4 linked regions of the Tamandua tetradactyla genome follow. The protein of the gene in region 1 purifies or fractionates together with the protein of each later gene. This does not show direct contact. Links are inferred from orthologs where the notes say so. Each region holds a gene or a part of one and is shown in the gene's direction. Other genes may lie near its edges. The genes, in order: CDKN1A, CDK3, PSME3 and CDK1.

Region 1 (6,875 bases):
GATGAATGAATAAATAGAAGAGAAGCCTCAGAAACAAGGGCACTGAAGTCTAATCTCAGAGTGCAGTCCAAAAATGGCCCTTCCATAAATATTCACTGAGCTCCCAGCTGAAGCTGCCAGATCTCAAAGGTACAAAGATGAATAAAATATGGGCTCAACATCTCTGCGTTTGCAGCTCAGAGGATGTACCAGGCACGTAAACAAAGCAGGCCAGCAATGCACAGCGGACAGGCTTGCTCTCCTGGAGCTCTGGGAACTGGAGAGAGGCCTGAAAAGGCCTCAACACCAAGGAGTCACTTAGGGTGGGTCATTGAGTGAGAGGGTGGTGGCGGTGGCAGTGGGGAGGATGGAGGGACTAGGTTGGTTAGGGAAACTCATCCCTGGAAGAGGGAAGGGTATGTGCGAAGACACAGAGAGCCCTTTGCTCCTTAAGTGGTCTATGACCACGGTACTTCCTCACCTCCTTTTAATCCCTAAATGATCTGATCAACTCATTCACACTGTAGTGGACATTGCACTGTGCCACCCAGAATCCCTCGCAGGACCCAGACATTTTCCCCACTGGATGCTGGCAGTTTTGGCTGCTGATGCTCACAGTTGAGTCCTTCTTCAGGAATAGTCCTCAGATAAGGGAGCTCCCTTGCACAAAGTCATGCATCAAGCACCCCCACCCCCGCCCCTCATTTCTGCCTTCTAAATGACTGTTGAAGGCATTGCATCCCAGCTCCAGAACTCCCAGTGGGATCACCTTAAACCTCATTAGAGCTTCTAGACTCTATCACAGCCCAGTTTCTCTCTCTGCCCAATCCTGTTTCTTGTACACCCAAACTGCTGTTGATCCTGAATGTACTTTTCAATGAACCTCCTGCATGCTAATCTCCACCTCAGAGTGTGTTTTCTGGGAAACCTACCTAAGTCAATCACTAAAGTGTAAATGACTATTAAACCCCAAGGGTTGCCTTCCCTGGGAGTGTTTGTACTATAGGAATAATAATAACTAATATTCATAAAGGGATTTCTTTGCCAAGCACTATGATAAGCACTTTGTCTATCTGATCTTATTTAACAAAGAACAGATCTAAGCCAAAGGAATGTATTTCTAATGGTGAAATTTCAATCTTTGGCAGTTGGCTTAGGAAGCTGGAAGTGTTTGTGTGGTATAACTTTTGCCACAAATATTTGTGTCTCACTGTATGATCAGTACTGACCCTTGCACTGGCTGTGTAAAGTCCCCATAAGGTCAGAGTGTGGACTCCCAGTCTAATTTTTCTTTTAAAAAATACAGGGCTTATTCTGCTCAGTAATATAATAAATCTCTGTTCTGCTTCTTCCCTTGGGCCTCACTTCTTGGGAGCCTGTGTGGAGGTGAATTCCTCTGAAAGCTGGCTGTCCCTGGTTGGGACTCCCCGAGACTCTTCTAAGAAATGGTGACATTATCCCAGCACTTCCTCTCTCTTCCCTAGCAGCTCCTGCAGCCACCGTTGGGCCCTCCTCACATCCTCCTTTCGCGGGCTTGGGCATTCCATCTTCCCTCTCCATTATCTGCTCCTCTGCCCCAGAAGAAATGCTGGTCTGGACTCTCCTGTCTCCGAAGCTGAGCCCTCTCTCCGTCTCTAAGCCTGCCTCCTGGAGAGCATGCCTTGGCAGCAGGCTGTGGCTCCATCTGTCCTCTGGCCTCCAGGAACATGTCCCAGCATGTTGAGCCCTGGCATAGAAGAGGCTGGTGGCTGTTCTGTCCTTGGGGCTGCCTACTTTGGGGCAGGGAGGAGGGTGGTAGGAGACAGGAGGTCCCCCAGAGACCCCAAGGAGAGCGTGGCCTCCTTCTCTCCAGGAGGCCCGAGTTTCTCTGAATAGAATATGTGATTTACAGCAGATTTCCTGGAGCAGGCCTGGGATCTGGCACTGCTGAGTGTATGTGTGGGTGTGTATGTGGTGGGAGTTAGATCTTGTGACCTCTACCAGCCTGCTCCTTTGCCCTCTTCAGGGGAGAAGTTTTCTTCCCCTTGAAGTGTGTGCCTGGCTACACATTCAAGTGCATGGTTGCAAACATTTTTAAACTACTGAACAGTTACTAGACATTCAGTAGATGCTTAATAAATATTTGTTGCATTCCATTATAATGGTGGTGGGGAGCTAGGAGTTATTAAAAAAAAATCATTTCCCAACAACAACAACAAAAAGAATTATTTCATTGTGAAGCTCAGTGCCACAAAACTTTAAATAATTCAATACAAGCCTTCATTAAAAGGGGGAAAAAATTCCAAAATAAACAGGCATACAATGTCAAGTCTATTTGAAATGCCCAAAAGCAGAAGGGATTCAAGGCAGGAGGAGGATATGCCTGTCCTCTGCTGGACATTGGGAAACTTAGTCCTTGGGTGGTGTGGGTGGGTCCTGAGGTCTCACATCTCTGGGGCCCTCCTGAGGTTTAGGTACAATCCTGACCTGTCTCCAGGATCAGGCAGGTGAGAGGGTCTGGGACTGTGCTCTCCCAGCCGGACCTGTGCTCCCAGCCCCACAGTAGAGAAAAAGGCCTGTCCTCCCTGAGGTCAGCCTTATTAAAGGAAGAAGACAGGGCATGTCTGGGCAGAGATTTCCAGACACTCAACAGCCCTAGATGTCAGTAATTGTAGCCACTCCAAGCATGGATTCTATTTTTTTTTTTAATGGGATTTCTGTTCAGATTAACACTCTATTCTCTGCAAAAAATAAAAAAATAAAGCAGAAACTGCAAATGTTGGAAGTGAGTGAGAGAGGCAAAGGCAAGGTGTGAGGAGGGCTGGGTGTGTGGGGTTAGGTGGGAGCAGCTGGACCCCTCACATACTTCTATATCTGACAGAAGCACCAGTGGAGAATTCCAGAATTGTCCTTCATCAGTGTCACTTCAATAAATCCCCTGGAAATGAGGTCTAGAGCTACTGAAGCAAAGGGGGCAGCAGGCAGAGCTCTGGAATGGAGGCAAAAGGGCTGTCGTAGTCATTAATTCACTGTGTGACCTGAGCCAGGTCACTTAAACTCTCTGAGCCTCAGTTTCCTCAGCAGTGAATGTGGGGTGTGTTTTTGTGGAATATCCAGGTGATAGCTCATTCACCAATGCTTCTTCCCCACCTAGCCACAATGGTTTCTTCTGCTGAGGTGAGAGTGAGGTGTGTGGGTGGGGTGGGGTGGGGGGTAAGGGGAAGCTGGTTCACTGTCCCATTTCTCCTGGAGACCTGGTTGGATCTTTCTGAGATTTATGGAATTAACTCCAATTCCCTCTTTCCCTGAGGCGATTGGCAAGCAACAACTTTGCAAGCCTTTAGTTCTCTGGGCCTCTTGTTTCTTCATCTGTAAAATAAAGGAGATTGAATTCCACTCTGGCGTCAAAACTTTGCTGGGGTGTCTGGGTACCCCAAGGTGCCGTGGAATCAGTGGTGGTGTAGTGAGACTTTTCTGGGAACTGCAAAGTGAAGGGCATCATTTTTATTATTTTTTAAGAATTTTTATAAATCTGGGTTAGGTAAATCCTTGCCCAGATCGGTCAGCAATGGGCCAGAAATGGAAAGGGGTCTCATCCTAACAATGCCGCCTTCTCCTGGCCAAAGCCCACTCACTTCCCAAACCAGAAAAAGCCCGGCTTATGGCTAAATTCATGGAGAAATGTGTCAAGCTCGCAAGCCCAGGCGCGCGGGTTGGGGGGAAGCGCCCTCTGCAGCCGACGAGGCCCCGACTCCAGTTGCTGGCGAGGAACCTGGAGCTGGGCCAGGCGCGGGCGCGGAGCCGCCCGGGCCCCTGGGGAGGGCGGTCCCCGGCGGCGCGGTGGGCCGAGCGGCCGGTCCCGCCTTTTAAGGCGTGTCCGCGCAGGGGCTATATCAGGGCTGCTCCGGGCGGCGCCAGCTGAGGTGTGAGCGGCTGCGGGAGCCGGTGGCCTGGAGATCCAGATTCCGGTGCAAGTTCATCGAGACACAGACACCCAGACGAGGTGAGGGAGCCGCGGCAGGCGACAGCACATCCTGGCCCGGAGCACTGCGCTGAACGTAGCCGCTGTGTGTGTGTGTGTGTGTGTGTGTGTGTGTGTGTGTGTGTATGTGCTGTGTTCACAGGTGTTTTTGCGGCAGGTGAATGACTTGCGTGGGTCCGTGAGTACTCGATTTGCGCGCACGGATGGCTGTAAGTGCGCATATGATGAGGGTCGGGATGTGTCCCAGACTCTAGGCGGAGCGGGGGCACGAGTCCTGGGGATCCCCAGCCAGGCGCCCCTCCCCTCGAAAATCCGCTGAAGAGAGGGAAGGCGTGGGTGGGGCCGCCCTCGAACTCTCCGCGTTGGGGAGGCGCCCCGGACCCCGCTCGTTCGCGACGTGGGGATGAGGCCGGGTTCCCGGAGGTCCCCGAAGGGGCGGGGGACGCGGAGCGAAGCAGGTTCATGTGGGCCCCGCCCCGGGACGGCTCTTGGGCCAATCAGTCCACTCAGTGTCGCCAGGGCCCTGGCCCCCGAAGTCCGGGAGCTCGACGCCGCGGTGTTCGCCGCTCGGCTGAGCGCTGAGGTCAGCGCGGGCTGTGTCCCTAGACCTCGGGAACGTGCCAGGACACGTCCCTTAAGGGCAAGTGAGGAGGTGACTCACGGTGACAAGAAGACCCTGGGGAGCGGGCCGGATGAAGTCAGAATCCCGCCCGGGCTGGGGGGCGGTGGCGCCCCCAGAAGACCCCACCCCTGCCTCTCCCTGGTGTCTGTCCGTTCATCAGCACAGTGACCCACTTGGCTGGTACAGCGTGTTCCCAGGGAAGCCGGGACACCGGGAGGTCCTGGACCGGGTTTCTAGCCCCCGCCCCGCGACGCGCCCTCGGGATCTGGGCGGGTTCCTGCCGTTCTCTGTCGGTCGGAGAAGCGCAGGGATCGGTCCCACCGCCGCCGGGAGAACCCCGTCCAGCCTGCCGGAGGGTCCGGGGCGCTGAACTCTGGGGTCCAAGCCGAGCCGGGCGCCCCGGGACAGTGGGGCACGCGGTCCACGCCGGGATGGGAGACGAGAAGGGGTCGCATCTTAGCGGTGTGGGGCGCCAAAGCTGTCTAGGGCCGGTGTCAGCCGCCCTGGGAGGCTCGGGGCGCCCCCGGCCTAGCCCAGAGCTCACTGTGCGAGGGCGACCAGCCGGAGCCGAGCAGGAGAGCCAGTCGCCCGCCCCTCGGGTGCCGCCGCCCGGCGCGGGTCACTGGGAGGCCTCCCTGTCCCGCGGCGGGTGGACACGAGTGGAAAAGAATCTCGGTACTGGATTTGGCACTTTGGGGCGCCCAGGCAGCTCCCTCCCACCCAACCTCCCTTCCTGCCGCCCTCGCTCCACGTCGCGTTTCGGGGAGGACGCGCGAGCGGTTTTGTTTTCGTTGTTCCCGTCTATTTTTATTTTCCAGGGATCTGACTCATCCTGTACTTTGGGCGTGGAGATAAGGTGGAGGGGCCAGATCTCGGCGCGCTTGTGCAGGCGCGAGTGTGTGTGTGTGTGTGTGTGTGTGTGTGCGTGCGTGTGTGACAGAGACGGCGCGAGAGTGCGCGGTTGTTTCCCAACAGCGGCGGGGGTTTCGGAAGCCTGGCGGCTCAGCGTGACGTGTTCGCGGCCCTGGCCTCCCCGCCCCGCCCCGCGCTCTCCCCCTTTCCCAGCCCAGGGGTGACGCGCCGCCGGAGTGGAAGCGGAGTTTTGGCGGGCGGGGAGCGCTTTGCAGGAAACTGACTCATCACAACTTCTCCCTCCCACCTTCCAAGGCTCGGCCCACGCACCTCCCACCCCGCGCCTGATTGATTTCCTGGAGATCGGTGCCCCCTCCCGGCCGCCGCGCGCACAGCAACCCGTCTTCCCGCGGAATCCAGCTGCGGGAATCCTTCCCGGCCGCAGTTGCTGCGCTGATCCTTTCCCCCACTCTAACCCCTTAAAAAGAGTACCCCACTGGTTCAACAGTATTTACTAAGAGATTACTGTTTACCGGGAAATTAAAATATGGCTGAACTCTGTTACTTGTTTGTAAAATCTGAGGGTTTGTGTTTCTGAGTTTTTTCTCTGAGTTGGTTGAGAGCAGGTGCTTGGTGGGGGAAGAGAGGCCCAGGAGAGCCATAAAGGAAAGAGTGGTAAGAGAGAAGATCTCTGCCCTGATTCCCGTCCCATTTTCAGCTCCTAGCAGCCAGGAGATGTCCAGCTGCCTGGTAAAGCCCTAGGCAGGCTCTTCCTCCTTGTGCCAAAGGACCTGTTGAGACTCAGAATGCCTGCTTCAGCCATCCAGTGTGCCCCCCTTGACTGGCACCCCAAGAGTGCACCCCTGCGGGGCAGTACCAAACACTTGCTTGAATCCCCTTTAATTTACATGAAGTTAGTCTGGGGACAGGGGACCCCTCAATGTTTGTGTGTGTATTTTAACTTTTTTTGTTGTGTGAAATATAACATATATACAAAAAAAGTAATAAATTTCCAAGTACATTTTAACAAGTAGTGATAGAACAGATTTTAAAGTTTGGTATGGGTTACAGATCCACGATTTTTCGTTTTTTCTTCTAGCTGCTCCAAGACACTGGAGACCAAAAGAAATATTAGTATATTGGTTCAGCAGTCATACTCATTTGTTAAATCCTATCTTCTCAATGAGGATTTTGAAAAAGCTGCCCAAGTGATGCTGATGGGTATCTCTGATTAAGAAACCTCAAAATAAGAGAGGGAGTTGGTGCCAGCACAGAACACAGAACCCAGGGCAGGCAGGCCTGGCAAATTGCTTAACTCTTCTGAGCCTTGATTCCCTCTTCTTTAAAAACAGCTAATATCTACCTTCCTTCTAAGAGGATTAATATTTGTAAAGTGCTTACAACCTCCCCTGGCACATGAAAATATATAAATAGGGTAGGCAATGGTGGCTCAGTAGCAGA
Region 2 (7,934 bases), on another chromosome or scaffold:
ATACTTTGTTTGTATTGCTACTGAAAGGTTTAAGGATATCTGATATTGTTATGAAATTAATGTATTTTGTATATGGGAAAAACATGTCTTTTTTAGGGGCCAGAGGGTGGAATGTGCTGGTTTGAAAGGATATATGCCCCCTAAGAAAAGTCATGTTTTAATATAAATCCCATTTCATAAAGGTAGAATAATCCCTATTCAATACTGTATATTTGAAACTGTAATGAGATCATCTCCCTGGTTGATGTGATTTAGTCAAGAATGGTTGTTTAACTGGATTAGGGGATGACATGTCTCCACCCATTTGAGTGGGTCTTGATTGGTTTATTGGAGTCCTATAAAAGAGGAAACATTTTGGAGAGAGAGACTCAGAGAGAGCAGAGAATGCTGCAGCACCACGATGCAGAGTCCACGAGCCAGCAACCTTTGGAGATGAAGAAGGAAAGTGCCTCCCGGGGAGCTTCATGAGATAGGAAGCCAGGAGAGAAAGCTAGCAGATGATGCTGTATTTGCCATGTGCCCTTCCAGCTGAGAGAGGAGCCCTGACCGTGTTCACCATGTGCCTTTCCAGATGAGAGAGAAACCCTGAACTTCATTGGCCTTCTTGAACCAAGGTATCTTTCCCTGGGTGCCTTTGATTGGACATATCTATAGACTTGTTTTAATTGTTTTAATTCTCGGCCTTAGAACTGTAAACTAGCAACTCATTAAATTCCCCTTGTTAAAAGCCATTCCGTTTCTGGTATATTACATTCCAGCAGCTAGCAAACTAGAACAGTCCCCTTGCCCTGGATTCCCGTATTTTCTTGTGACACCCAAGGGCTTGAGAACTTGATGCTCTGGATGGAGGCATGGGGTGTAGGCTTCCCTCACCTCTCCATCAGACCTCCTTGCTGTATACTTGGAGGTCACCGGCCACAGCAAGTGGCCGTCCATAAATCCCACCACCCTTTGGTTTTCTTCCATCGAACCTCATCTCCCCATTCCACCCTCTGTCTGCCTTTCCTCAAGCCTCTTTCTTATGCTCTCACCTTCTTCGGGATTTGACTGAAACCTGGCTTTTCCCCAGGATGGCAGTTTCCCCACTACCACCTTCCTCAGGCAGTCCTGCTCAGGCCACCAAACCCAGAGGGAGTGCCTGGATCCCTGTGGCTCCTGTGGTTTGTCACCGCACACCTTTCCCATCCCCGGTGGAAGCCAGTTCTACCAGCAGGCACCTTTGCCTCACTTTGCCTCTCGCACTGGGGCCTCACCTAGGACCTTGTCTTCCCTAGAACTACCCCACCTTTGCCACCCGATGCTACAGCATTCCTGTATTTTCTTGTGACACCCAAGGGCTTGAGAACTTAATGTTCTGGATGGAGGCGTGGGGCGTAGGCTTCCCTCACCTCTTGGTACCTTCCTGTCCCTGCACGTCCTCCTGCTGCCTCCTTTTCAGCCGCACCAGGCCTCTGGATTCCTGGACTTTTCTCCCAACTTCTCTCTCCCCTTCAGTTCCTCCCCTTTCTGGCAGAAAGTGCAACCTCTTGCCCTCCTTCCATCACACTGATTAGCTCCCAACCTCCCCACTTCTCTGATCCTGCCCCGGATTATTGAGTGAAGAAGGACCACAGAACTCGGTGAATTTGCAGCACAATGATTTCAGTGTCTCTCATTTCTTGGGAACCCTCCACATTGCCTGGAAGTCCCTCCAGGCATCTTAGTCAAGCCCCTCTCCCATGCTACCCACCCCTCCGCCATCAGATAGGACCTCTTACTACCTAGCTTCCCCCATCCCTTTCGGCAGATGACCCACCTACTTCCTATGTAAAATGGAGGCTCCAGGAGCAGTCCCTCCTCCTAAGATCATATGCCCCTCACTCATCATTAGCCTCCCCCCACCCCACCCCACCAAACGCCCATCCATTCCTTCGGACCCCCAGACTGCCCTCCTGCAGGGGCTGTGTTCTCTCTTGTTTTTTATCACAGAAGTTATAGGTTTACAGAAAAATCATGTATGAAATATAGAGTTCCCATATTCCACCCTCAACTGTACACTTAACTTGTCTGCACTGGTTCTTTTCTTTCAGCATATAATGTGCTTGAGCCTCCTCTGACTTAAAATGATAATCACCTTTCACTCTGCACCCTTCCCTAACTAGGCTCCTCCTTCCCTTCACAGTCAAACTTGTTCTCCATTATCTCCCTTTCCTTATCTCTCACTCATCCCTCACTCAGCAGTCCTGGGCTGGCCTTTGTAACCTATGATCCTTTCTCAGCTCTGGCTTCTTTATCTTTGCAAGAAGAAATTCTCCCAAATGACCAGTTCCCATTCACTTTTCCTAGCTGTCATGTTCAAAAACTTTCCCCTTTCCCTGCAGCCCTTCTTCAAACACAGTTCTTTTTATTCCATTTACAGGGGCCTTCCGCAGATGGACCAGCAGTATTGTGATTTGTCCTTTGCAATAATCATATTTCAAAAAGCTCATTTCCATATTTAATAGCTTTTTCCATTCACAGGGAGAAGCAACATGTTCTACAATAAAAATCTAGTGGTAAGGGTTTCCCCAGGCTGAGAAGAAAGGCATCATGTAAGGAAACTTCTGTGAAATTGAGCCAGACAGTTAAGAAAGTCTTTATATCGGAAGTTTGCAAATTTGATGTTTCCCCCCCATTTTTGAGTTTTCAGCAGCTCCAGTTGGGGTTTAGAGCTCCTTGATTTTGTCCTTGCTCTCCCTGTGCTGCCCTGAACATCTGTGACTACTCTGAGTACTTAGGTGGCAAGATAAGGTTTAGGTCTATCAGGACCAGCTGAAGATTTGGCAGACGTCCTGCTTTATTGGTTTCCTAAAGGGGGCTGAGCACTAAGAATCCACCGTCTGCACTGATCAGTGGCTGCAGAAGGTTGTCACGCTCATCCTCTCTGGGTCGTCACTGCAGCCTGGTGCTAATAACAGAAGCTTGGTGACACCCAAGCTACTTCGTGGTTCAGACAAGTTCCATCTTCCAAGAGGAGCCCTGTATTAAGGCTTAACAGTCTGATGTTTAGAATCTGCACCCAGGCTACATTAAATTGATAAGATGGCCTAGACGAAAAAGACTAGGTTTAGACTTTATCGCATCAGAAAGCCTCTATCACAAAGCTACATCAGAATAGACAGGGTAATGTCCTAGGACATCGAGTGTACTTCTTGACGTGCTGAGAGAATAGAGAAAGCATGAATGAAAGAAAAAGTATTCGAGGGTGAATCCAGATGTCTTTTGTGTTAGATTCAGTTGTCAACTTGGCCAGGTGAGCATACCTAATCTTGTTGCTGCAGACATAAGCCAACGGTACATGAACCTCATCTGTTGCCAATTACATCTGCAGTCGGCTAGGAGGCGTGTCTGCTGCAATGAGTGACGTTTGACTTAATTGGCTGGTGCTTAAATGAGAGAACGCAATGTAGCATAGCCTAAACAGCTCGGCGTTCCTCATCTCAGCACTTGCAGCTCAGCCCAGGCCTTGGAGATGCAGAAAGAAGTCACCCCAGGGAAAGTTGTTGGAACCCAGGGGTCTGGAGAGAAGACCAGCAGAGACCATCTTGTGCCTTCCACGTAAGAAAGAACCTCAGTGGAAAGTTAGCTGCCTTTCCTCTGAAGAACCAACAAAATAAATCCCCTTTTATTAAAAGCCAATCTGTCTCTGGTGTGTTGCATTCCGGCAGCTAGCAAACTAGAACATCTTTCCTGTCTGATGTCACCTGAATGTTGACATATTCCATCAGGTCACCACTGCATCTTCTAGAAGACCTACTGGCATTGGAAATTAAACTTGGAAGTGAGCTCTAGAAATCTGATTATTGCAAGGGACCAATTGGACACTGCTGTCAATCTGTCTGTGAAAGGCCTGTGTAAATGGAATGACTTCCAGCCTGCCCTGGAAGAGGGGCTAGATAGGGCTTCTTGAGGTGATTTACCCCTGTGAGGCCAAACTCTCCTGGAGCTCAGCCCCTTGGATATATTAAAATATGGGTTTTCTTTTGCCCTAATTTCCAATGCCAGAGGGTCCCAGGGTGTGAAGGGGGCCCTAACCTCAGTACAAATGGAGACCTAGGATAGTGACTGAGACCCCTCCTCGACCAGGGGCACATCCCCTCCTCGACCAGGGGCACATGGGGCCTATGGAAAAGGTGGCTGAGATGAAGGTGACAAAGGATGTAGAAAGCTGGGCTCAAGCCTAGGAATCCCTTCCCAGGTTAAATGGGATTTTCAGGCCACCCACTAAGTTTCAGACATGTGCCTGTTAGTGTGTGGCAGGTCACAGTTCTGACAAGTTGCTAACTTCTATATACCGTCCTTCTTGCCTCCACCCCTCGCTGTCAAAACTCAGGACTAAGTAAATGGAGGGAAGACGGCTAGAATGCTCCTGGAGCACGTGTCACTGGCACTCTGGGCCATCACTGCTAGTGCCTCGACGGTTGTGTCTTTCAGATGGAGGTTCCGTGGTGAAGGCCCGGCTGCTGACTTGTGTGGAAGGGATCAATCTACCCTTGTTGGAACAAGCCATCCAGGAACAGAGGCTGTACCGACAAGAAAGGGACAGCTCCCAATAGGAAATGGCAGTTCCCAGCCATGCACCTCCTCACACACTCACCGGATCCTGGGCCAAACCAACAGGAGATAACCTTGCGGTGGATGGAGACGCTCTCCCTGGAGTGACAGCCCTTGCTGGGACCAGAGAGTAGAGGGGAGGGCTTGTTCTTCTGGCCCCTTTCCATAATTATTGTCCCGGAAATGGGATCCTGGAGAGCAGGCCCCGAAGTCTGCCCGCTCCGCCCCACCCCCCCAAGGCTGCTGGAGGCCGAGCTCTGGGGCACTGGGGGCCCCAGGCCATCATGGAAAACTCCAGAAGGTCCTCGTGAATAAAGGCGCCAGAGGGCGTGAGCAGGGCTTGTGTGCACGTGGTGATGCTTCGGCAGCGGCCAGGAGGGGGCGCCGTGGGGCCGGAGTCTGTCAGCAGTGAGGCTGCTGCGTGCGCAGTTTCTGGTGACGTCTGGGCTGGCGAGGGTGGCACTGAGAGGAGGGTGCTGGGGCGCAGGGGCCCGGGTGGGGGGCCCGGGATGCTGGGGGGCCGCCCCCAACAAGCTTCTGCCCTAAGAAAAGACCAAGCATCACCAAACGGGCCGGGTCTACCCCCTCAGCGGACTGTGTGGCCTAGGGCTAGTCTGTGGCTCCAGCCACCCTTCCAAGCCCTGACCTCTGACCCGAGCCATCCCCAGCCCCTGGGCAGCCTTTCCGAGCTGCCTTCCCACCCCGGGGCCCGGGCCGGGGGGCGGGGGGGGGGCAGGGGCTTGGGCCTGGGCATGAGAAGTTTGGGCCCTCCTGTACTCCGTAGCAGGGCGCAGTGCAGCAGCGTCCGGTTCCCCCTGGGGACTGGGCAAGAGCACAGGGGGTTCCTGCCTGGGCTGGGCAAGGGGCAGCCCCCAGCCCCGAGCCAGGTGCCCAGGGATGGGCTGGGGACACCAGGGGCGGGGAGCTGGGCCTGGACGGCCGCCACCGGGACCGCAGAGCGGGGCAAGCCCTGTGGGCCGCAGGCCCGGGGAGTTGGGCAAGCCCGGGGGGGGGTGCTCAGCAGGGGTGCCATGAGGAGGCTGGAGGGGGGAGCCGGGGCTGGGCGTGGGGGGCGAACGCCCCGGGCGCCATCTGTTTCCCGGGCAGCTCTGTGGCCATGGATGTGTTCCAGAAGGTCGAGAAGATCGGAGAAGGCACTTACGGGGTGGTGTATAAGGCCAAGAACAAGGAGACCGGGCAGCTCGTGGCCCTCAAAAAGATCAGGCTGGATTTGTGAGTGCTGGCACGGCCCCCGAGAAACACCCAGCCCAGGGCCACTCAGCCCTGTCCATTCCCTCATCTCAGAATGCTGCGCTCAGTTCCTTCTGTGAGTGCTGCCTAGTTCTATTCAGGCAGCCACGGAGATGCAACCCTAACGTGTCCTCACCCCAACCCACTGCCTCCTCCCTCCCTCTGGCCCAGCTTTGCCCCTGGGCCCAGCTCCCTGAGGCTCAGATGGGTTGTAAGTAGGTGCCGAGGCACACAGGCTCCCATTCGCTGGGGGTGGGCCATCCTTACAGGAATAAGGAACACAGAAGTGCTCCCTCAGCTCCTGCCTCTAGGCCTGCTCACAGCTGTGCCCTCCTTCCCTGCAGGGAGACTGAGGGAGTCCCCAGCACCGCCATCAGGGAGATTTCCCTGCTCAAAGAACTTAACCATCCCAATATCGTCAGGTAAGTGGGCAGAGGAGGCAGGGAACTGGAACAGTGAATGCCAAGCCTACCTGAATCCAGCTAGGAGCTGCTGCATCGCTGGCGTCTCCTTGCCAGGCTGCTGGATGTGGTGCATAGCGAGAAGAAGCTTTACCTGGTGTTTGAGTTCCTCAGCCAGGACCTGAAGAAGTACATGGACTCTAGCCCTGCATCTGAGCTCCCCCTGCACTTAGTCAAGGTACCAAGGCAGGGCTGGGGAAGATGAGGTATCAACCCACTGAGCCAGCCCCCAGCCTCTTCAGCTGGCTCCTTCCCGTGCTTGCTGTTCCAGAACTACCTCTTCCAGCTGCTGCAGGGGGTGAATTTCTGCCACTCTCATCGGGTCATCCACCGAGACCTGAAGCCCCAGAATCTGCTCATCAATGAGCTGGGAGCCATCAAGCTGGCTGACTTTGGTCTGGCCCGCGCCTTTGGGGTGCCCCTGCGCACCTATACCCACGAGGTACTGCTGGGTCAGGGGGAGAGAAGGGCAGCTGGAGGAATGGCACCCAGGAACGGCTCTGTTTTCTTGTCCCTCAGGTGGTGACACTGTGGTATCGTGCCCCCGAGATTCTCCTGGGCAGCAAGTTCTATTCGACAGCTGTGGATGTCTGGAGCATTGGCTGCATCTTTGCAGAGATGGTAAAGAGGGACAATGCATTGCCGCGGGTGTGTGTGGGGGGGAGGCGCGTGCAGGCAGGTGCGCCTGCTGGGAGCCGGGGCTCGCTGCTTTTCCTATTAGAGGTGGGTTGAGGGGTGTTTGAGACTGGCTAACAGACTGAGGAAGGGGCTTCATCCCAGGAAAAGCCCTGGGAAAGATATCTTGAGGGTCACTCCCTTCGTTCTGGCTGCTCGTTGGTAGCAGAGTCTCTTCGACCAGCAGGGGCTCTACTCTTTCTCCTTGGCCCCGTCCAGGTAACCCGCAGAGCACTGTTTCCAGGCGACTCTGAGATTGACCAGCTCTTTCGTATTTTTCGGACCCTGGGGACACCCAGTGAAGCCACGTGGCCAGGAGTCACCCAGCTGCCTGACTATAAGGGCAGCTTCCCCAAGTGGACCAGGAAGGGGCTGGAGGAGGTTGTGCCCACTCTGGAGCCAGAGGGCAAGGACCTGCTTATGGTAGGTGCCAGGGTAGCCCTGGCTGCTGCCCCAGCCGGGAGGACCCCCTCGGCCAGCTGACCTCTTACATAACCCGCACCTGCTGTGGCTTCACACTAATCTCTTCTCTGACCCTTTATATAACTGGCTTGTCCCTGTCCTTGTGCGTATTGATTCTTAATCTGGAAGCCACGCTGCATGATAAGTTCAAAGTTCATCTGCCCTTATAAAGCTCCTCTTTTCCAGTTAGCTTTTTTTTTTTCCAGTTAGTTTTGTTTTTATACCCTGAGACTTGCCCTTTACTCCTTGTATTTTTACTTCTTTCCCCTTGTGGCCGTTATTACCCCATCCAAGCGGCAAGCTTTCCTGGTATTCCCTGTAGTACCGTCAATGCTGGGCAGTCTTCACATGAGGCTGTTCACAACAGGCTGTTCCCTGTTGCCTGCGTGCCTGCCACATTCCTCATCCCCCCACCCTGCAGTCCCTTTTATAACCACTTGGACTGGTCCCAGGTCAAACTGGTCAAAGCCAGCAGTTCTTGCCCACATAGGCTTGGAGGACTTAGTTCTCTCT
Region 3 (7,005 bases), on another chromosome or scaffold:
TGCATATGGGTATACAATTGTCCCAGAACCTCTGTTTGAAAAGACTGTCTGACTTACTTTATAACTGGGTCATTTGACTACTGTTGAGAATAATTTGAAGAGTGGCAGGAGTGGAAGCAGGGAGTCTAGGTAAGAAGCTTTTGGGCTAATTGAGACAAGAGATGATTGTTAATTGAAATAAAAAATTATAAATGGTATAGATTTCTTCGTATTTTGTTTTTGCATGGGCAGGCACCAGGAATTGAATCCAGATCTTAGGCATGGCAGGTGAGAACTCTGCCACTGAGCCACCATGGCCTGCCCTTTTTTCTTTAAAAAAAATTTTTTTTGGTTTTGCCTCTTCTACCTGGAAGACAAGGTATTTCATCAATTTGTTTGGCTCACGTGACAAAGTTTCTTTGATTCTAGGTCCGACACACTTTGTACTTCATGAAATATATCATACATTTTACATAGTTTAATTAAAAAATACATTTTAAGCTGATTGTTCTTTTGCTGCCTTATTTATTGTAACCTTTAGCACATTCCAAGGTTTTAGTTATTGAGGAAGGAGTTAATTAAAACGATTTTATTTTGGTCTGATGGATGTTTTTTAAAAGGAAAATTATTATTATGAACCTTCAACCTACTTTCCTTGGGTGCCGTAAAAGTGCTTGTAAATCTTTTTTTTTTTAAGAAGAAAAAACTTGGTGTTTAACATCAATGGAAATTCAAAGATATGAACTGAAACATTAGCTTAGCAAAAATAAAAGCTATCTGTCTTTGAAAAAAATTTTTTTGGTAGTATAGATTGTATAATTTCATTTATATAAACAACAACATGTTAATAAAAATGTCAAAATTATGTGCAGCAAGCAGTATCTTTACTGGACAATGGAATGAGGATTTTCTTTTACTTCATACAAGTTTGTAATGTAAGATTTTTTTTTACAATAATCATATAATTAATTTACAACAAAATGAAACCTTTGAAAAAGATTAATACAGCAATATAGGTTAGGAAAATGGTGACATGAATTTACCTATAATCCTACCACATCAACTATCATTTTTATAATTTCCCTTTTAATGTTTTTTCCTATCCATTATAACATGGTTGTGTTTATAATTGTAATGAAATTTTTAAATTCTATTTTTTTAATTTAACATTACTAATAAATATTTTTCCATGTTGCTAAACAGTTCTAATTATCATTCTCATGACTGAATTGCATTACATCAACTATACTACCCTATGGTATTCCTTTATTGTTGGACATTTCTATTGCTTCTGGCTTTGGTGACTAAAATAATGCCACAAAGAGTACCTGACTGCTTCCTCATGACAGAGTCTCACAACTGGCATTACTAAATTAAAAGAGTGGCTATTTCATGTCTCTTGATTAATACTGGCAATACTTTTCCAAAGTGGTTGCTTATAATTATATATATTCTGCTTCCAGTAGCAGATGAGAGAGCCTGTTTTATGATGCCTTGGCCAGCACGAAGGTAAAAAATGGCACTTCTCTGTTATTTTAATTGTCATATTTGATTACTGGTAAGATGAACATTTTGCCATATACTTGCTTGCTGTAGTTCCCCTTTTTATAAATTATGTTTGACATCATTTACTCATTTACTATTGGGTTTTTAAAATTTTCCTAAGTTTTAAAATCAATTTCCATGAATGGTTTATTTAAGATATTTTCCAGATGCAAGGTTTTAAGTTTTTATAAAGTCAAATCTGCTTATCGTTTTTCTTGGTAATTTATATTGCTTAAAGAATCATTCCTAGATCCAGAAGTGACTTTTCTATTATTTTAAGCATGTGTGGTCCTCCTAAAATTGGTGTTGGGTGGCATAATGTGGAACTAGATTGGTTTCCTCCTAGTATTCCTAAGTAGTTGTAGTCTCTACAGCCGCTTCTTCCTCTTGGATTTCAGGAGACCCCCTCTAGAGAAGGAGAGTGGAATCATCTCCAAAGACTTCTAATATAGGCCTGGTGTAGTCCCACATTTCTGCCTGCTTTTTGCCAGAAAGGCATGGAGAAGTAATTTGGGCTTAGAGAAATTAACTTGGGCTTCTAGAGAGGTAGGGCATATAGAAGTTAAAACTGAGGGTTTGGAAATATAGACTTCCTGGGTTCAAAACCTGTCTCTTTCACCAACCCTGTGACCTTGAACAAGTTATTCAATTGTTCTATGCTTTGTTTTCTCATTTATAAAATAGGGATAATGTATCTATCACAGAGTAGTATGATGATTAAGCTAGTACATGTAAAGCATAGAGAATAATGCCTGAGACATAGTAAGTACTCTGTGTAACCTGCTGCTTGGGGAGTAATCAGTGTGAAGGATTGTGAATAATCACAAACACCCTGTCATTGGTCAAACAAATATTTATTGAGGACCTACTATGTGCCAAGCACTGTTCTAGGTCTAGGAGGATAAAGTGGTGAACTGCTCTAATAGTTTATATTGTAAGGGAGAGATTTTGACCATATAAACAAGATAATTTCAGATAAGGTAGGTATGATGAGGAAAATAAAAGAGGATAATGTGGTGAAGAGAAGGGGCAAGAGCAGGTGAAACTTCTTCAGTTGGGGATTTCAGGAAGGTCTCTCTGAAGACATTTTAGCTAAGACTTAAAAGACAAGGAGCTATGAAAAGAACTGTGGAGGCAGGTCATACAGAGTGGTAGGCTATGGGCATGAGTTATGGATTTATTCTGTTAGCTGGGAAGCCAGTGAGGATGATAAGCAGAGAAGAGGCATGATGTTGCTGATCTTTTAAAAACTGTTTACTTAAGTATAAGATACATAGAGAAAAAAGCATAAATTCTAAGCATACAGCTGTGTAGCCTTGGATGAGACCTTCACTCCGGGAGTCAATTTGCCCATCACCTATCTTTGATGTCTAGAAGTTTATGAGTAGGTGGTGGGGAAAGGTGGGGAAGTCTGGTACAACTGAGTTTGTCTTCTATCCACAACATTTGAACTTCAGTGGACGAACTGCAGCGGGAATCGCTGACTAGCCAGAGAAACGAGCGCCGGGGTCTCCGGCTTCCTCTGGCCGACGTCACCGGGGTGCGACAGGTCGTCTGTCCTGTCCTCGGAGCGGTTCAGGTCTCTTCGGTGAAGGCGAGTTCCGGGTCAAACGGTTTTTTAGTCTCTTTGAGGCCCAGTTCTCAGTAAACCTTCCTCTACCGCTCTCCCGCTTGCTTCACCCCTCTCGGACACAGCAGCCTGAGAGATGAATCCCGCCCGGAGGGTATTGATTTGAGGCCCCGCGCGGCTGCGCAGGGCACGTGCGTGCCTCGGTTGGAATCCGGGCGATTGGCTGTGACGTAACTTCCGGTGTGAGCGGCGAAAGCCGGGAGGGCGAACGAGAGAGCTAGCAGGCAGCGGGCGGGCGGACAGGCATAGGGAGGGAGCCAGCGAGCAGTGAGCCAACGAGGGCGGCGGCGTCCCGAGGGCAGCCGAAACCGCCCCCCGCCCCACTGCCCCCCTCCCCGGAGCCCACAGCGCCTCCGGTCTCCAGCGGAGCGGACACGGCCCGACCCGGCCATGGCCTCGTTGCTGAAGGTGGATCAGGAAGTGAAGCTCAAGGTAGCGGCACCGGTCGGACTTCCTTACCCCTCGCTTCGCTCCCACAGCAGTCTGACCGGCTCCCCCACTCCCCATGGCGTCTTTGTCTCCCTGGGGACGCCAGCTCCAAGCTTCCGCTCGGTTTAGCCCAGCCCCCCACTCTTGGAGACGGTATCGGGAGGAAGGATAATATAGGGTGGCCTTGTATACCCCGACTAGTAATAGAGAGCCCCGGGGACACCTTGGTGGACACGTGTTGGACTCAATTCTTTAGTGACACCTGGAAATCCCCCAACCCAGCAATGTCCCCGCCCCCGGACTCTAGCTGCCACCCCTGTCCTTGGCGTCAGGCCTGCGTGGTATCATAGGCCAGGTCTGAGTAGGGGTTGGCACGTTTATGAGCTCACATCCCCTCTACCTATCTTTTGTCTGCTATCAGAGGCAGACGGCCTCAGACACAGGGAGGGAGGGAAGGAGGGAGGGAAGACAGGGGTGCTGTGCTGCCCTTAAGCCCCTCTTCCCTCTCCAAAGATGGAGAAATGGATCCTCAAAAGAATAAAGTATTTACAGTCTGGGGGCCTCTCAGCTTCTCATTATAATTACAAGGTGAGGGAAAGGCAGCTAACTGGATTTTGGATTCTCAGCCCAGTCCTTAACTCTGTTGCTCTTACTGAATTACTTTTTTTTTTCTTTTGTCAATTTTAGGTTGATTCTTTCAGGGAGCGGATCACAAGCGAGGTGAGTGAAATAGAAAAATTAGTCTTGGTTAATAATTGGGAGTTTCTCATGGCGGAGGGTGTCTGTAGAGAGAGACCTTTCCATAGTTGGTAATTCTGCTGTGTTTTCACTCACCTTTAGGCAGAAGACTTGGTGGCAAATTTTTTCCCAAAGAAGTTGTTAGAACTTGATAGTTTTTTGAAGGTGAGAGATCCTTTGTTTTTTTTCCCTTCTCTTTCCTCACATTCCCCATGTTTTTGGCCTTGGTCTTTCTAGCAAATGAGACAGATTGTGTGTTGATTGTATTTTTTTTGTACTGTACAGCATGGTCTCATTTCTTATCCTTCAGATGAACATACTTCTTTGTTCACCTTGAAAAGACTAAGGGTGTTTTGGGGCTGGGCCATCTCTCTTTCAGGAACCAATTCTAAACATCCATGACCTAACTCAGATCCACTCGGACATGAATCTCCCAGTCCCTGACCCCATTCTTCTCACCAATAGCCACGATGGACTGGATGGTGTAAGTGTCCTTCTGTATTTATCTGTTTGTTTTTAAGCAGTAGGTTCTCTGTCCTCAGCATTTTGTCGGTTTGAATGTGTACAGAGAGGTCAGTAGGATTTGGATTTTGAAACCAGGCCTCTGAATCTTATGAGCATGAGCACTCCAATATACTCGCTTTTGACTCTGATGTTCATCTATAGCATGAGAATATTTGACTTCTTTTCTCAGTGTTAGAGTGAGCTTCAAATAGGACTAAACTAACTATGGTTTCCCTCAGGTTATCTGATCTGTTCCTTTGGCTCTAAGCAAGACTTTGTTTCAGTGACTTGAATCCTGTTAATAGAACAAGAAGTTCTTGCTGTATAACTCCAGTCCCTGTTTTTGCTGTGCTTCTTTAGCAGTCATATGCCCACATGCTACTATAATACTGATGACATTGTATCATTCTTTGTTTGCATTACTGTCTCATTGATAGAACTTGCATTTCTGGAGGCAGAAACTGCCTTAATCATCTTTGCAACCTCAGCAATAGCATTGTATCTCGTACATAGCAGGTTCTAAATACTGTTGATTGAATATTGTATTCCTTTGTGGGAGAAACAAATTTGTACATATTCCCTTAGTGAACCTCACTTTGCTTTTATCAGTTCCTTTTTTTGTATTCTTTATAGAACCTCCCCTTCCCCCATTTACTTAATGCCTCGTATTTCTTGAAAGATTGATCTTCCTAACTAGAGTGTAAGTTGCTTTGTGGCAAGAACCTTTTCCTAAAGCTTTATGTGTGCTAAGTAAATTGTTCATAATTTGATAAAACAACCTGTGTGGTCAAGGAAGGGATTAAACTTGAAGGCTATCTGGTGCATGGGGATGCAGGTGTTTAAGATGGGCTAATTCCCACCACTTTTGTATCCTTAGCCCACTTATAAGAAGCGAAGGTTGGATGAGTGTGACGAGGCCTTCCAAGGTAAGAACAACTCCTACCCTACCCTCTGACCTGCAGTCCTGAGAGGCAGTATGAATCTGGTGCACTCCTTGTTGGGAAGCAGTATCTGATTTTATTTTTCAGAGTCAACATTTCCAAATCCTCCAAACATGGTCATTATATAGCCCCTAAACCTGATTTTCCAGTGAACAGGGAGGTTTTGATTTAGTGTGGGCTGCCAAGGGAGAGAGACTGTAGGTAGAGACTATGCATCTCAGATTTTTCATAGGGTCCCTTTCATGTTCTTTTTTTCCCCCTTCAATAAAAAAGTCGATACATTAAGTCCTTAGAGCATGTATTTATTTTAATATCTTTATTCTTAAATATTTTGGCATACTTTAAATACTCATTTGTTAACCCGTAAATTCTCTGTTTGATTTTAATAGTGGCATCATGGTTTGTAGTGTTGTAACAGATAGAGTTTTTTTTTTAACATGGGCAGGCACCAGGAATCGAACCCGGGTCCTCTGGCATGGCAGGCAAGCATTCTTGCTGCTGAGCCATCGTGGCCCGTGTTGTAACAGATAAAGGTGAAGATAGCATTTCATGGATCTGAGGAGGAAGAGAGGAAGGTGGGAGTTCTGTGCCCTTCCCCTCACTCCAGTCATTTGGCATCTTCACATCCCTTCCAGGAACCAAGGTGTTTGTGATGCCCAATGGGATGCTGAAAAGCAACCAGCAACTGGTGGACATTATTGAGAAGGTGAAACCTGAGATCCGGCTGCTGATTGAGAAATGCAACACGGTGAGGCAGGGACCAGTGACCCATGGGCTCGTGCCATAATGGGTGACAGGCTGGAGGCATAGAGGTGGTATCAGGGTTGGCAGAGTCGATGTCTTGGCTCCTTTGCACCTGGTGTGTGCCCCAGCAGCAAGAATTGTATACTTCATGACTTCAGCAGAAAAGGCCAGGGTTCTAAAATAAGTGTTTTGGTTCCCTCACCCTCCAGGTCAAAATGTGGGTGCAGCTTCTGATTCCCAGGATAGAAGATGGGAACAACTTTGGGGTGTCCATTCAGGTAATGTCTTGCAACTGGCAGTATCTCCCCTGCTTTTTCCATTTTCCAGTTTTCTTTGAGGCTTCTCTGGATATTCTGAGAGTGGCTTTTGACTTACCTGTTGTTTTCAGGAAGAGACAGTTGCAGAACTAAGGACTGTTGAGAGTGAAGCTGCGTCTTACTTGGACCAGATTTCTAGGTAGGGTAGCTTGGACTTGGCTTAGGAATTGTGGGCTGG
Region 4 (7,860 bases), on another chromosome or scaffold:
GCAAGATGTTCCAAGGGCTTAGAGAGCACCTCCTCTACACAGATATTTTGTGTACTCACTACCCACACAAAAAAGCATGTGGGTAGTGAGTAACAGGAGAAGCTAGACCATGGAAACTTCTTCTCATCACCAGATTTGTAAAACTACAAGAAGAGACTTTGGTGTTATCATCTGCAGTTCTCTTCTTCAGGAATACACTCATTAATTCAGTATAAACAATTATGACTCAGACAATTTTTTGAATCTGGAATACTTAGAAATCATGCAAAATAGCATTTTCCAGAATCCCTGTGTTTGCGGGGCAAAAAATTACAGCAGTACTGCAAATAGCTGATAATGTAGAAGAAATCTGATAAAAGTTTTATGGCATTACCAATAATGAGCTAAGAAGTTAAAATAACTTTCTTTGTAATTATGAATAATAAAAAACAATTTTGATCCATCCTGATACAGGAAAGACTGAGTTATCTTTTTTCTCTATACAGAAAATATTACAACACAATGTCATATGAAGAGACAAAGACATCAAGCTTGCCAGGTGGGTTAACAAGTAAGCATTTAAAATATGGATGTCAAAAATATAGCCATAAAATGTAGGGCAATAGGCATTATAAAAGTGTGTCAGGCAAAATAGAAAGACTTTTGGTGAATTTTGTAATTTTGTGGTATTCTTCAACTTGTTGAATTTTACAATTTTATGATTTCTTTTCGTATTCTCAATACATATTTCCCATCACATTTAATTATATATTCTTTTTCTTAAAAAGGGCCTGCAAATGATCCAAGCTTCTGGAACCCATAAAATCTGGGACTGTCCTTGGCTCTCTGCATCCATATGGACATCTCCTGGTACCTCCCAACCCACAAGCCCAAAGTGGCACTTCACCTCTCACAGCTGCCCATCAGACACTTTCTGGACTGGTAGTGGTGTCAGCCTGTTTCCAAGCCACTTATATACCCAAGAGTCACTGGAGATGACTCTCTCCTATTTTCACCTCACTAAATCCCTCACTGAGGCCTTGCAGTCCTATCTCCTAACTATATATGGCGGCCATTTCTTCCTCTTCAAGCTGACCACCACCTCCCGTAGTTAGCATCTGCCGGAACAGTTGCTTGAGCCCTCCACTACTTTTCCTGGTTCCAAAGTAACCTCTCTCCTCACACCTTATTGTCAGGTTTTAGACGGTAGCTGACTGAGAAATCAGAGAAACTGAGTCCGAGTTTAAAAAGTTTATTGTCCCGGGGCGAGGTTCCTGGGTCCAGGTGTTCAGGGTGCGGGCTGGGGAAGTCGCCCCCCCCTGGGGGCGGCGGGGCTAGATATAGGCTAGCTAGTGGGGGTGCCGACGATGCCTACCGGGCCTTCTGTGGTAGGTTAGGAGTTTCACGCGCTTTAGGGCTGGGGGGCATAGCTACAGGCCTTGGCCGGGGGCATAGCTACGGGCCGTGTGCAGTGGGCATAGCTACGGGCCGTGTGCAGTGAGGGTCCTTTGTTTGCAGGGCAGGTCCTGATGGCTGAGTTTGAACAGCTGTATGCCTGGATGTTCACGGGTTTTAGTTCGGGTGGGGGCCTTCCAGTCAGAGGTTAACAGGCCTTACATTTATCTTCGGTGACCTTTCTCCCCCTAACTCTCTCATCTGACTATGTCACTCTCATACTCAAAATTTTTTCAATTCTATCCTCCAGTCCAAATTCTATGGCATAATCCTAAAAGGCTCTTCAAGATATGGCTATTGTTTAATTGCCTAGCCTCATTCATTTGACCCTTTCTTCAGTACCCAGACTCTCTTTATGATCTGGCAATATTGAATAATTTCATTCTCTTAAAAATGCCTTGTTCTTTCTTCTCAATCAACCAGGAAGCTCTCCGCACTTATTTGCCTGTCAAAACTCTTCATTCTTCAAGACCCATGCCACTTCTGCTATGAAGCCTTGCCTTCCTCCCTTCCTCCTCCCACCTTACACACACACACACACACACACGTGCACACACACACGCATGCACACACACTACTTCTGGTAATCTGTGTGCTCTGTAAGAGCATCCCTCACCAAATTGCACTTGAAGCACTTGTCCCCCATCTAGATAGGAAGATCCTAGGGGCCAGTGTCCATATTACTGACCTGCTGCCCTTGGTCCTCATTGGCCCCTAGGTTGGTGAGTGAATCTCTCCTCCCTACCCCAATCCCACTGCCTGAAAGAACAATGAGATAAAGGTGCGTTGACAAGCAAGCACTTAGTGTGGATACCAAATGTTAACCGTGCTTGCTCTTTTTCTCTCCCTTTTGTTGGAGGAATGAAGGTGAGGTATGGAGGTTGTATATAATGAACTCTCATTATCCTCATTTTACATTTTGAAATTGCACAAAAATACTTATTAGTATAAAAATTAGAAAAGTTCCTAAGGAGCCACCTTACTAGTTCTGCTTTCAGCTGTGATTACGAGATCTCAAATGTTTCTCTAACAACTTCAATTTCTGAATTAACCTAAAGGAACATTATTTGACTTCTATTGGGTAAGTATATCCAGCAACTTCTATTAATTTTATGCAGTAGAAAAAGGGCTTTGGCCAGAGTCATTCATTCATTCATTCATTCATTCTTCTTTGGACTAAGCGGTAAACTAAAACTGTTCAAAATTAAAAAGATGCAAAAGTTTCCTTTTCACCTCTGTGCCCCAGCCTCTCTTCTCCACAGAGGCATATTGTTATGTTTGTGGCGTCTCCTTTCAGAATAGTATATGTATTAACAAGCAAATATTTCTCAAACTTATTTTTATCTAAAAAAAATCTGAAAAAAAAGTTATGGGTAATGCCAACTGATCTTTTCTTTTCCTTATGTAACAGAGTTTACTGAAACATAAATATGAAACTTTGGGGGGGCACATGCCTTTCTATACCTCCCCTCTTTAGTTCTGCTTTTAGATCTCAGTTACAGTTGCTGTTTTAAAATATCGTTCCAAGCTTGTCCCTCTTCTGCCCAGACTCTTTGGAACAGTGTTGAGTGCTCTTCAAGATTCTGACTCCAAACTCTTTTCCCTAGCTTGATACCACTGGTACCCCTCTATATGCTGAATTACTCGGGAAGACTTTTAAAAAATTATGGTAACATATATAAGATATGATTTCCCCCTTTTTTTTTTTGCATGGGCAGGCACCAGGAATCAAAACCGGAGTCTCCAGCACCGCAGGTGAAAACGCTGCCTGCTGAGCCACCATGGCCCACTCCCATTTTTTAACATACAATTCAGTGGTGTTAATTACATTCATCACCATCCATTACTAAAACTTTTGTCATAACACCAAACAGAAACTCTATTTTAATAGCTCCCCTATTCTCCCTTCCCCCAACCCCTGATAACCTTTAGTTTGTTTCTTTCTCTGTGATGAGGTTGGGGAGGAAAAATGGTCAGTCAAGTCAGCACTGAAGTTTCTGGAGTTGGTGGAAATGGTAAGAGTTATGGACACAGAGAGATTATATTTGGTGAGAGAAGATGTTTGAGGTTAAGCTGACAGTGGGAACTCCAGGTGCAGATGTCTGTGAATTTTCTCTGTGAATTCACTTATTCTAGATATTTCATCTAGGTGAGATTGTACAATATCTCCCCTCTTGTGTCTAGCTTATTTCACTTGGCATCATGTTTTCAAGGTTCATCCATGGCAGAATATGTCAGGCAAAGCCTCTGTGCTTTGTTCATGCCGTTTCCTCTGCTTGGAATGCCCGTCCCACAATTCTTTCTAAAGTATTTATTCAAATGTCACTTCCCCTGTCAGCATTAGTTTTCTCCTCTGTGTTCCCCTGTCATTTTATAGCATAAGTTACAATTTAAGTACCAGAAGAGAGTTCTAAATCATCTTTGTGCTTCCCCCCTCTTATACTGAGAGCAGGAATGGTATCTTACTCATTTTTGCATTTATAAAATACAGTGTTGCACTTTACAGACACTGAATATAGGTTGGCTGAAAATATAATAAACTATATGTGTTAAGAGGATAGCTTGAATTTACAATAACCCTCCTGAAATTCTGAAAAGAAAGAGAATCGCATTAAATTAAAAAAGAGTAGCATCACAGCTATGGAAGCTTATGGTCTTCTTTATGCTGAATGTAAAGTGAATATAATGCATTAATTGCATTTTTTAAGATGATACAAATTGAATTCCATGCCTAAGCCTTCCAGAGAGAAAGACGTATATTCATTTATTAAAATCAGTAACCCAAAATAACAGAGAACAGCCTGCCTCCCTAGAGCACCACTCTGGGGAAATGAAGGCAGTTTTCATGTAAAGAGTGAATTTTTCATTTAAAAGTAAGCTTTAAAAACTGTTAGGCTTAATTAGGGTATTTACAAGCCCCTACCCAACAACCCCACATGTTCTGCCTCTGTGGCCTGGGAGGCTAAAATAGTCAAGACTGAGCCTAAGTGCCACATATAGGGCCAAACAACAGATGTTGCTTCTCCTATTCGTTGTGCAAAAATGCATGAATGCATGTGATATACTAGTTCCATTCCTTATCCTACCCTGGGTATTCTAATTCATAGTTGAAGAGGTCGAGATAGTCATTCTTTGTTCTATGTCCAGTTAGAGTCAAGGCAAAGAGGAATTCTTCCTAGAGGACTCTTACTACCCCGGGTTCTACATACTGTTTTATTTCCTTAAAGATTGAATGTTCAAATGCAAAGATCTTTCTTAAGGATATGGTGGTGATGCTGTGTTATTTAAAGAATAACTTGATTCCTTTTTCTTCCTTCAAAGAATTATGAATTTTGTGTTCATATGTAAAATTTTGATGTAAAAATAATTTAATATTGTAAAAATTTCCTTTAGATTTTAGGTCTTTCCATTTTCCATCATCTTCAGGTAAGTGAAAACGTGCTCTTATGGAGAAATAGGCTCATCCAGCAAACCACTCAATTTAGAAAAACATAAATATACATTAGCCTTAAGCACGAGAACTGAACGGAATGGAATCTTGATGTAATGTGATAAGCTATTTGAGCGCAATAATTTTTAACTGTACCAATTCCGGAAGGAAAAAAACCCGAACGAATAGTAGATTCTCAAGACGAGAAACAGTAGAACGACGCTTCCCTGGGATGAAAGACGCCCCTGTGTTCAGACTCAGTTGGCGCCCGCCCACCTGCTTTTTCTCCAGCCGCCGTTTCCTCTTCCTTTCGCGCTCTAGCCGCCCGGGAAACCCAGCCCAAGCGTAATGTGCTCTGATTGGCTGCTTTGAAAGTCTACGGGCTACCTGATTGGTGGATCGGAGACCCTTTAGCGCGGTGACTTTGAAACTGCTCTCACTTTGCTTCAAACCTGGCTCTTGGAAGTTGGGAAGGAGTGACGCCGACGTGGTAGCTGCTGCCACCACCGCGTCGGATAAGCCCGGTAGAGTTGCAGGGGCCCGGGTCGTACCTATGGGGCATGTACTCGGCAGGCGCCGGCTCGGGGGCCTTGGGGAGGGGAGTATTGAAAGCCCTGCTGGGGAGCAGGGGGTGTGTGCGGCAAGGCCGGGCCTCAGGGTGGGCTGGGCCCGGGGCTCGGAATCCCGGGCCTGGGCTTTAGGGGGAGTTTTGTGGGAGCACAGCCGGATGGGCTTACTCTGGGGAGGGCTGAGGCTGCCCTGGCCTCGGAGTTCCCTTCTGGAGGTCTGAATCGTCTGTTTCGAGGAAGAGGTCGCCCACCCAGCGGAGGAGGCATTCTGGTGTCGGTGCAAGCTGGATTGAAGCAAAATCCGTGCACAGGTTCGAGGACGCAGGGTGCTGGTGAGCGCCAGGCTCGCTCATGGGCCCTGCTGCTTCGGTTCGCCGCCTGCGCTTCATCCTTCGGCTGCTCCGGGGGTGGAAAGCGAGACCGCACCTGGGCCGGGCCCCACGCCAGTCTTTAATCCCAGTCAGTCTGAGAAACCGATCCGACGAACTTCTGGGCTCTCTCGGGCTTCCTTCAGCACCCATGTCCCTTACCTGACCGGAAATTTTAAGAACCCGTAGCCAAGGCACAGAGCCAGTGGAAACTTGGGTTTCTTTTTTTTTTTTTTTTTTTTACTTGTACTTTACACTCGTAGCTAGTATATCACTGGCAAAAAGTGGAAAACTAAGAAATGCCGAGAGAGAAACATGTGTTCTTAATACCTTTGTCAAGGCCTTTAATCAGTGTTGATCCATTACTAAAGTTACTAGTGTGCATTCTGGACCTGGAGGTCTCTGGGAAGGGAAACTAAGCCAAAGATATTTTATATCCTACAGCTGTTAGAACAGAGCCGCGGGACGCATCCAAAAGGCATTCTGAAGCAGCATGTTTTATTGATAATTGTTAAAGTTGGAAAATAGAAGGGTAATTGAGTCCGGCTTTGAAGTGGAGTTAGTTTTTAGCTATTAAAGTGAGCGCAACAATTTTATTGTGTTTTAGCCCATATTAATTCTGGTCACTTAGGAAAAGATAATTGTGCTAAATTGTCCATTGCTGTTTAATAAAATTAAATTGTAAATTCTTGATGGACATTCTTTTGTTTTGGAGTCAGTTGCTCAGAGTAACCCTTATGATTTTATCATCAGTGATGAGTGTGTTAGAAAATCAATGTAATTATGCTTCAGATTTCTGAGGTTTTGCTTCATTGGAAAACTTAACCAACTGAGAAGATCTTGAGTGTCTGGCTGTCTGTCTGCAATTCTGCTCCTTCTTACCATTCTTAGTGATTAGTATTTGTTTTTTTATTTGGTTCTTGGTGTTGGTAGGGTATAATCAGAACTTTATTTGTGGAATTGCACTTTTAATCTTTTCCTTCTAGGGCATTCAGTGATATCTTCTTTTGCAAAAGGTACCTTGCAAGTCTTGTAATAGAGAAGCACATTTGTCTATGTGACTGCTATAAACAAAGAAGAAAAATTAAAACTCAACTTGCGCCAACTGTAAACACTTAAAATGCTTTTGTTGCTTTAAGCAAAACCTTTCTAATGGGGAGCAGTCTGACCAGATTTTAGACCCCTACTCAAGTCTCCTGAACATTTTCTCTTGAATTATCTTCACTAAAAATATCGTAAAGCAATACAAATCAAATCAAAATAGCATTATTTGCTGATGTATTTGGGTATAACCTTGGTACACAGTAGTGCTCCTTAAAAGTGTTACTTACTTCCATGTTTGGTTTGGAAAGGATGGATTGATTTATTGTGAATTTGAGGGCTAATCCAGATGGAAGAAGCTAAATGTTACACTGGTGTAGAATATACACATATTTCCAATATTTTAGAAGCTAAAGAGGGTGGGAAAGTCTTATTGCAAGAGTTCTTATTCTTGTAAATATTGTCTTAATATAACTCATATTTATGAAATACTTTATATTGCAGTAGACATTGCTAAATACTTAATATGTAGTATCTCATTCATACTTAAAACCACTCTTTGAATTAGTAGCATGTAATCAAGTCATTTTTTCCCCTCATTTTAGGATTTACGGCACCTGTTGGGTAACTATGGAAGACTATACCAAAATAGAGAAAATTGGAGAAGGTGAGTGATTTTAATAATATAAAAATTTTTTAAATGATGATTTAATAATGCAAATATGTCTATGACTTGAAGAAATGTGCACATATTTATTAAGATCCAGCCACTAAGTGTAGACCCCAAAGAACTGGAAGCAGCAATTCAGATACTTGTGCGGTAATGTTCATAGCCCCGTTATTCACAATAGCCAAATGTGGAAACAACTCAAGGTTCCATCAACAGATGAATGGATTGGAGAGGGTAAATAAAATGTGGTATATCCATACAATGGGATACTAATCAGCCATAAAAAGGAATGAAGTTCTGATACATGCTACAACATGAATGATCTGTGGAAAACATGCTGAGAGAGAG

Evidence for each region.
Region 2: the proteins of CDKN1A (region 1) and CDK3 purify together in Homo sapiens (affinity purification with mass spectrometry; 3 studies listed by BioGRID and IntAct, counting the BioPlex papers as one, with this or other methods). This does not show direct contact. The link is inferred for Tamandua tetradactyla from reciprocal best matches to the Homo sapiens genes CDKN1A and CDK3.
Region 3: the proteins of CDKN1A (region 1) and PSME3 purify together in Homo sapiens (affinity purification with western blotting; 3 studies listed by BioGRID). This does not show direct contact. The link is inferred for Tamandua tetradactyla from reciprocal best matches to the Homo sapiens genes CDKN1A and PSME3.
Region 4: the proteins of CDKN1A (region 1) and CDK1 purify together in Homo sapiens (affinity purification with mass spectrometry; 11 studies listed by BioGRID and IntAct, counting the BioPlex papers as one, with this or other methods). This does not show direct contact. The link is inferred for Tamandua tetradactyla from reciprocal best matches to the Homo sapiens genes CDKN1A and CDK1.

Annotation. Positions count from the first base shown.
Region 1 is NC_135331.1:93,465,504-93,472,378, forward strand, and holds the start of CDKN1A (cyclin-dependent kinase inhibitor 1), read left to right. Parts: upstream 1-3,869; 5' UTR 3,870-3,961; intron 3,962-6,875. UniProt on the Homo sapiens protein: Plays an important role in controlling cell cycle progression and DNA damage-induced G2 arrest. Involved in p53/TP53 mediated inhibition of cellular proliferation in response to DNA damage.
Region 2 is NC_135332.1:16,403,934-16,411,867, forward strand, and holds the start of CDK3 (cyclin-dependent kinase 3), read left to right. Parts: upstream 1-4,921; 5' UTR 4,922-5,007; intron 5,008-5,679; 5' UTR 5,680-5,689; coding exon 5,690-5,805; intron 5,806-6,167; coding exon 6,168-6,245; intron 6,246-6,341; coding exon 6,342-6,462; intron 6,463-6,555; coding exon 6,556-6,726; intron 6,727-6,803; coding exon 6,804-6,905; intron 6,906-7,178; coding exon 7,179-7,382; intron 7,383-7,934. UniProt on the Homo sapiens protein: Serine/threonine-protein kinase that plays a critical role in the control of the eukaryotic cell cycle; involved in G0-G1 and G1-S cell cycle transitions. Interacts with CCNC/cyclin-C during interphase. Phosphorylates histone H1, ATF1, RB1 and CABLES1.
Region 3 is NC_135332.1:24,427,167-24,434,171, reverse strand, and holds the start of PSME3 (proteasome activator complex subunit 3), read left to right. Parts: upstream 1-3,987; 5' UTR 3,988-4,096; coding exon 4,097-4,171; intron 4,172-4,270; coding exon 4,271-4,303; intron 4,304-4,423; coding exon 4,424-4,486; intron 4,487-4,700; coding exon 4,701-4,805; intron 4,806-5,702; coding exon 5,703-5,751; intron 5,752-6,401; coding exon 6,402-6,514; intron 6,515-6,719; coding exon 6,720-6,788; intron 6,789-6,898; coding exon 6,899-6,966; intron 6,967-7,005. UniProt on the Homo sapiens protein: Subunit of the 11S REG-gamma (also called PA28-gamma) proteasome regulator, a doughnut-shaped homoheptamer which associates with the proteasome. 11S REG-gamma activates the trypsin-like catalytic subunit of the proteasome but inhibits the chymotrypsin-like and postglutamyl-preferring (PGPH) subunits.
Region 4 is NC_135339.1:36,504,457-36,512,316, reverse strand, and holds the start of CDK1 (cyclin-dependent kinase 1), read left to right. Parts: upstream 1-4,846; 5' UTR 4,847-5,388; intron 5,389-7,447; 5' UTR 7,448-7,472; coding exon 7,473-7,509; intron 7,510-7,860. UniProt on the Homo sapiens protein: Plays a key role in the control of the eukaryotic cell cycle by modulating the centrosome cycle as well as mitotic onset; promotes G2-M transition via association with multiple interphase cyclins.